Oryctolagus cuniculus: one gene and its partner. The protein of the gene in region 2 interacts with the protein of the main gene of each other region in a pairwise test. Links are inferred from orthologs where the notes say so. Each region holds a gene or a part of one and is shown on either strand. Other genes may lie near its edges.

Region 1 (3,150 bases), on a different chromosome or scaffold from region 2:
CCAGCTGGGGAACCCAGGCAGCTCAGAGGCTACCCGTGGATCTCCGGAGTCCAGCTCCTTCTCCCATTTTCTCCTTGTCTCAGTTTCACACAGAATTCCTGAAAAGATCTGGTTCTGAATCCAATGCACCAGCTGGCCCACTCCCTGCGCTCCCACCTACCCTTAGCTCACAAGCGGCTGACCTGGAGCTTGCTGAGGTCAGCCACCCCGCCTTGACCTGCGCACCTGTTCCCAGGGGGCTTTTGTGCATCCCCAATAATTTCGCCTCTGGGACCTCACGGTCACTGCCTCGGGCAGCGTGGTGTAATCTGATCCAAAGCCTTTACAAACTTGGTGTGCTCACTAACAGCAGCAGAGGGCTGGCATAACCCAGCTGCCACCCACGGGGTAACGTGAGGGATTGTCAAGATGGGAGCAAGGCAGGGCGAGCGAACCAGCGAGATGAAACCGTGCGACGCGCTGGCCGAGAGCTGAGAAGGCAGGGGCTCAGCCCCGCGAGCTTCAGGGTCCCTTCCGGCTACTCAGCACTCTCCTGGGGAGGATGAGTGCGAGGTGAACCCACAGCCTCTGAGAACATGATAAGCGACTGGTGCAGCGCCAGCGCAGCTGTTTTTAATGGGTCCTGCCCGCTCCTGGCTATCAGAAAGCCGTTCTGTGCACACCAGGCAGACTCGGCTCTGCTTAGCGCAGCGTTTCTGCGCTGTCCGACGCTTTAGGAATCACTTACAAAGTTCTTACCCACGCGGAGGGCACAGGAGGTGAGAACTGCAAGCAGTAAGGAAGGAATGGACAGCGGATAGGACTGAACGGGCAGTCCGGGAAGACGCGCTGGTAGGAGGTTTTTCACGTTCAGTGTATTCGAATGGCTGCACAAGACTATGAGCGACGCCTTCGACTGATGGACATCTGCGATATTCCCAACCGCTCGGGCACCAATCGCTGGAGCACCGGCCTGGGCGGCCTCGGGCTGCGCGGCTGGAGCAGCAGGACTCCGCGCCCGGCTCCCGTCCAGGAATTCGGCCGCTCGCCCGAACTCCAGTGCTGGCTGCGGACCCCTCGCGGCCTCCTCCCCGCCCTCGCCCTCAGCCAGGCAAGGTTCCGGAGCGGCCGCCGCAGAACACGAGCGGCGCGGGCCTCGGCACACGCGGCGTGAAAAAAGACCGAGTAGAGGCCTCTTGAAACGGGCTCCCCGGGAACGCCGCAGTCGCCGGCCGCACTCCGCGCCCGCTCACGGCCGTGCCGAGCGCCACACGAGAGCGGGCGACACGCAACACGCCGCCCTCGCGAGGCCCGCCGCGCGGCACCCGCTCCCGCACACCCGGCGGCCCCGCCTCGCCCACTGCGGCGCCCCGCCCCTCTCCCCGGCCGCCGCACGTCCTGGTTGCCACGGAGACACGTCACGTACGTGCCGTGCGTCGCCTTGGAAACGGCAGCTCGGCGCGCGGCCGGAGCCGCGCCCCCGCCGCCCGGGCCGCACTCGCGGGCGCCGCCCGTGCCTGGAAAGGGGTCGGGAGCCCCGCGCGGCGGCCTCGGCCTGGACGGGACCTGCGGGCGCGCGCTGCGCGGGGCGCGCTGACTCGGGCGCGGTCCGGAGGCGAGGCGTGCAGGGCGCGCGCGGGAGGCGCCGGCCCCGGTACCCCCGTAGCCGCCGCCCGGCGAGTCCGAGCTGGACGCGCCCCCGACCCCATGGAGGACGGCCCGCTGGAGCTCATGACCAAGGACGGCGGCGACGTGCCGGCGCCCCTGGAGGTGTCCAGCGTGCCGGCCGTGGGCGACGTGCTCTCGGGCGAGTACAACGGCGGCATGAAGGAGCTGATGGAGCACCTGAAGGCGCAGCTGCAGGCCCTGTTCGAGGACGTGCGGGCCATGCGGGGCGCCCTGGACGAGCAGGCCTCGCACATCCAGGTGCTGTCGGACGACGTGTGCGCCAACCAGCGGGCCATCGTGTCCATGTGCCGGATCATGACCACGGCGCCCCGCCAGGGCGGCCAGGGGCGCTGCGCGGGCACCCCCCGGGAGCCCGAGTGCCCTGCGCCGGGGGCGGTCGCCAGCGAGGACCCGGAGGACGGGAACGCCGAGGAGGAGAAGGAGCGGCCGTGCCCCGCCGCTCCCGCCGGCCGCCGCGAGCGCCCCGAAAGCCCCCGCGCAGGCAGCACGGCCGCGCCGCCGCTGGAGCCCCGAGACCCGCCCGACGCCGCCCTGCTGCGGCTGAGGGGCGAGGCCGCGCTGTGAGGCCCCGCGGGCGCCCCCCGGCCGCTGCGGGTCGGACGCCGCCCTCCGACGGCTGCTCGCGGTCCTGGCCGAGGGGCGCCCTCGAGGCGGGGTCTGTTGGGCGCAGGCCCGTGGGAGCTGGGGCCGCTCCCGCCGCCGGCCGCGGAGCCCTTGCGGGCTGCGCAAAGGTGAGCTTGCGGGAGAGGACGCGCCGGCCCCTGCCCTGCCCGTCCCTCCCCAGGTGGCGAGCGGACCGCTGGCCTGTGTAAATAGCACCCTGCCTTTTCTATTCACGACAAGGACTTCTCTAGGACGGTGGCAAACAATCTCAAACGATTTGCCTAGAAATTAAGGAATCGGGGGTGGGGGGGATTCTCTTCTGCCCCTCTGTTGAGTCCAAGACACTCGGTGCTCCGCAGAAACCGCCGCCCCCACCCCGCCGCAAGTCTGCGCTGCCGTTGGTAAAGGGAGCCCAGGACCCGGGTGAATGGGGTTCCCGGGGCGGGCGGGGAGGCGCTGGCTGCGAATGTGCATGAAGACACGGGAATAGCGCAAGCTCTGGATTGTGCATGCAGCGCGGATCCCGCCCGGTCGCTGACTTCGCCTGGGACTGCTTCTCCTCTCGCTGGGGTTAGAGAACAAAGAGCCCAGCTCGCAGCAGCCCAGATGCAGGGGACGTCTGAGGGACTCTTGGGGTCTGCAGTCAGAAACTGTCTCTCCTAGCCACACCTGCTTAGCTGCAGTTCCTCCGTCACGTGTGTCCCTGCCCGCTGCCTCCCGGTGTCGATGTCGCCTCCATCGTGTCTGTCCACCGTGTAGTAGTGTGTGAGCCCTGAGGGGCAGGGCTTGTGGCTCTGGTGTTAGGTCCTGGGGGCTTCAGATCCTTCTGTGAGCCTCCCCCCACCCCACCCCAGGGCATGGAGCATGTGGCTGTCCTGA
Region 2 (4,459 bases):
AGATTTCTAGCATTTCCCATGTGTTAACCCATTGAATCCTAACCATAACCCTGTGAAAAGGGTGCTGTTATTACCCTGTTTCTCAGACAAGAAAACTAAGAGGTGGCATTTGAACATTAGATTACTTGCAAGTAAGTGAAATCAGGATTTAAATCCAGGAAACTCAGGGCTGGTGCTGTGGCACAGAAGGTAAAGCCACTGCCTGCAGTGCTGGCTTCCCATATGGGCACCGGTTCGAGTTCCAGATGCTCCATTTCTGATCCAGCTCTCTGCTATGGCCTGGGAAAGCAGTAGAAGACGGCCCAAGTCCTTGGGCCTCTGCACCTTCGTGGGAGACCCAGAAGATGCTCCTGGTTCTTGGCTTTGGATCGGCCTAGCTCCAGCTGCTGCGGCAGCTGGTAGACCTCTCTCTCACTGTGTAACTCTGACTTTCAAATAAATAAATAAATCTTTAAATTAAATATAGGCCGGCGCCGCGGCTCACTAGGCTAATCCTCCGCCTACAGCGCTGGAACCCCAGGTTCTAGTCCCGGTTGGGGCACCAGATTTTGTTCCGGTTGCTCCTCTTCCAGTCCAGCTCTCTGCTGTGGCCCGGGAAGGCAGTGGAGGATGGCCCAAGTGCTTGGGCTCTGCACTCACATGGGAGACCAGGAGGAAGCACCCGGCTCCTGGCTTCGGATTGGTGCAGCACGCCGGCCGTAGCGGCCATTTGGGGGGTGAACCAATGGAAGGAAGACCTTTCTCTCTGTCTCTGTCTCTGTCTCTCTCACTGTCTAACTCTGCCTGTCAAAAAAATAAATAAATAAAATAAAATAAAAATGAAAAAATAAAAGAAATCCAGGAACTCATGCTTATAAGCACTCTACTACACTACCATATCAACCTACATTGGAGGATGCAGAGACCCCTTCAATTCTTTTCTGGGGCCTCTGCTGTGGAGCAGCTAGAAGGGGCAGAGCAAACAGAAAGTGGGTATGGGCCTCTCACCGGTTCTCTGGGCTCCTTGTCTCTCCATGGCTCTCTCTGACCACGCGAGCCACCTCGGAGAAGCCGGCTTCTTCGGCCAGCTGAGCAGCATCCCTGCCACTCAGCTCACAGACGCCCACCCAGGCAGCCCCACGGCCCAGGAGATAGCGCACAGCAGCCTCCTGGCCCGCCCGGGCAGCACACATCAGGGGAGTCCACCAGAAGGCATCCCGGGCGTTGATATTCCCTCCAGCTCCCCCTGCCTCATGGGGTTCCAACAGCTTTCGCAGTTCTGCCAGGTTTCCCTCCTGGGCTGCCCTCAGGATCCGCTGGGTCATCTTGTCCTCGGCCTCAGGGGATCTCCACTGTCCATGTCTTTCCGGTGCTCCTGCAGACCCTGTTTCTGCTGCTGTCTCCCTCATAGTTCTTCTCCTCTTCCTCTTTCTTTCCTGTGCAGGCTCAGGTTGAGGTGCCTTGGGCTCAAGGGCACTGCTGTCATCCCTGACGAGGGCCTCGTAGAAAGCTCTGGCAGTAGCCCCATCCAGGGCGGCCTCTGGCTCTTCAGGCTGTGACTGCTGCTGCTGCTGCCCATCCTTCCAGAGGTCACTGGGGTCAGTAGCTGGGGTGAATGAGATGAGGGAGGGCTTGAACATAGCCTTTCCAAGAACTGAGAGAATGAGGCTGGGCCAGGGGAGGATGAGACAGACAAATCAACTTCCTAGTGGCCCTTGCAGTGGCCACAGCCACCTCCAGGGACCTGTGGGCAACAGGAAAAACAGCCTTAAAATCAAAACCATCTTCGCCCCTCCAAAACTGACCCTACAATCTAGGACGTGACACCCTAAGGGCACTAGGTCTCAGATGAAAACACAGAACACTACGATAACACACTTTGCCTACTGTTAAAGGTTAATAACGAAAACTCCCAGGCAGTCATCCTGAGGTCTTAGTTCCACCTTCCCCCAACAACAAATATTAGCCCCTCTCCAATACCACTTTCCTATCCCGTAAGACACACCATCACGAAAAATCAGCCTGGCCCTTTAAATCTTCCTGGATCCTACTTTGGGGTTTCCTCATCCCAAAGGAAGCCGAGAAGTCATGACGCTTCTCGGGAAGACTTCAAGACTTCGGGACGGTGCAGTCTGGGTTGCTTCCATACTGCAAAATGGCGCTATTCTAATCAAAAGCGTTGGCACAATCAAATAGCCACACAGCACAAGCACGCATGCATAGCAACAACCAAACAGCACCCCGCCTCACCTGGGCGCACAGGCGTGCGCAAAGTGCCGGGTCCGGATTCCCGCCCTGGAACCTTCTCAACAGCTTATGCCCAGGGCCTCACGTGCCCCTTTGGCGCGAGGACCCGGGACGATCCGTCGGTTGGGTGGGGGGGTCCTGCTTTTACATAACGCCCCCACAATGCCCTTCGCCTCCCTCAACGTGGCCCCCACTCCAAGCTCATTTTCTGAACCTGGGAAGCCAGCTTCTGGCTTAAGAAAGTGCCTGAGACGGAGGGAAACCTGTGGAAGGCCGAGAAGTTGTGAAATGAAATAACGCCACACTACCCCCTCACCATTACTCGGAGCAGGTTCGAAGGGCACGCGTAGAGCCCTCAGCTGAAGACCCCATTCAAGCCCTGGGAGGAAATGGAGAAGTGCAAGGGGACGAGCAGCAGGATGGCCGGCGCCGCCTCAGGTTAGCGCACCGGGCCGTCCTGGTTGTCAATAACGCTCAACTCAGGACAGACACACCCGACCCAGGTCCCTCAGCACGGAGCCCGTTCGTACCTCCCACCTCAGAAGGCCCGAGCTCAGGGTAAAACGTGGGGCTCTCCTGTGCAAGGCCGTGCCCGACTTGATAAGAACTAGGAGGGTTGGCCAGGGCTCACTGAGGGTCCCCGAGGGCAACGTCTGCGACCCGACTCGCCTCGCTTCTTCCCCCGCCCCCTCTTGGCCCCTCAGTCCAGTGAGCATACGACTCTATTTCCCAGGCTCCTGGCCCCGAACGCCTTACTTGGCTTCCGCTTCCGGTGGCGCCTCGCTGTGCCCCGCCCCCGAGCCGCGTCCTCGGGGGCCTCGCGACACGAGGGTCGTGAGTGAGCTGTCCTGGGATTCGTAGTTCGCTTTTCCCTCGCTTCGCCGGTCTCTCGCCCTAGCGGACTCCATCTCCCAGCGTCCACCGCGGCTCTCGCCCCTCGGCGCTTGCGCGTTGCCCTCTTCCCCACCCTCCCCGATTTCCACTCCCCCCACCCGACTTCGCCTGCCGCGGTCGGGTCCGCGGCCTTCGCTGTAGCGGTCGCCGTCGTTCTTTGGAAGCAGCTGTTCCCCTCCCCCACCCCGGTCCCGCTCCCCGTCCAGCTGGTGAGTGTGAAGTGGTTGCCCCGCGGAGTTCCCGGTCCCTAGGAGCGGCACATGGGGTCTCCCCGCCTTGAGGTGGGGGCGAGGAAGGAAGTGACCCGGTCCGTAACCGTGGGAGGGAAGGGTGGCCGGAGAGCGGGAGGCAGGCTGTGGGGACTCCGTGAAAGAGTACCTGGCGGTGCCCGCCCCTCGCCCCGGGTCGTGAGAAAAGGAGGTGTCGGTCGTTGCTTGGCAAAGATAAACTTCTAATTCTTGGGGAAGGGTGCCGGAGCCCTGCGGTGGTAGGGAGCCCGAGCCGAGGACTCTGCCAGAGTTGACACAGGCGAGAGGGGTCTGGCCATCGGGGGCGCGGGGGATGTAGGTAGGGACTGCTGGGTCGGTACTTGTGGGCTCCTGCCAAGGAATTTCTAAGTTCATTCAGAGAAAAGGGGCCGAGGTGTAAATAACAAGAGCTAGAGAAGCCTGTCCCAAAGGCTGGGATCCTTTAAAAAAAAAAAAAAAAAAAAGGGTGGCCCCAAATTCTTCCATGGCTGAAAGACAGAGTGTGGGAGGAGGGAAGGTGCCAGAGCCGGGGAGGGAGAGCTTGGACTTGACTCCTGTTTCCAGCTGACGTGAAGATGAGCAGCTCGGAGGAAGTGTCCTGGATTTCCTGGTTTTGTGGGCTCCGTGGCAATGAATTCTTCTGTGAAGTGAGTGCTTTTCGTTCTTCCTACTCGCTGGTTCCATGCGTTCAGGTTGGGTATCTTCAGCTTTTGCACACTTTATCCCGTGGAAACTCCTTCCCGTGAAAGAAGGGGTCCCCTCAGTAACCCCCCACTAATCAGCGGCGATGTGGCAAGACTGGGGCCCAAGTCCCATTTCTGTCACACACCCCACCGCACCCCCAGGAGGATAACATTGAACTAGTCAGACCATCTTTTTTTTTTCTTTTTCTTTTTTAATTTTTTTATTGTACTTAAAGTATCTGAAGGTAGAGCAACAGAGAAAGTGAAGGATCTTCTGTCTACTGGTTTATGTCCCAAATTTCTACAACAGCTACTGCTACCAGCCAGGCTGAAGTAAAGATCCCAAAACTTACCTGGGTTTCCCATGTGGGTGGCAGGGACTCAAGTACTTGTGCCATCACCCTGCTA

The links.
Region 1: the proteins of GPANK1 (region 2) and CCDC184 interact in binary tests that used the Homo sapiens proteins (3 or more experiments, as listed by UniProt). The two-hybrid records come from large-scale screens. The link is inferred for Oryctolagus cuniculus from reciprocal best matches to the Homo sapiens genes GPANK1 and CCDC184.

The regions. Positions count from the first base shown.
Region 1 is NC_091440.1:137,730,024-137,733,173, forward strand, and holds CCDC184 (coiled-coil domain-containing protein 184), read left to right. Parts: upstream 1-1,424; 5' UTR 1,425-1,686; coding exon 1,687-2,232; 3' UTR 2,233-2,384; downstream 2,385-3,150.
Region 2 is NC_091436.1:138,949,358-138,953,816, reverse strand, and holds the start of GPANK1 (G patch domain and ankyrin repeat-containing protein 1), read right to left. Parts: upstream 3,101-4,459; 5' UTR 2,983-3,100; exon of another isoform or gene 2,757-2,982; intron 2,490-2,756; 5' UTR 2,230-2,489; intron 2,102-2,229; exon of another isoform or gene 1,985-2,101; intron 1,724-1,984; 5' UTR 1,620-1,723; coding exon 988-1,619; intron 1-987. Other genes in the region: CSNK2B (casein kinase II subunit beta), read left to right, coding at 3,944-4,015.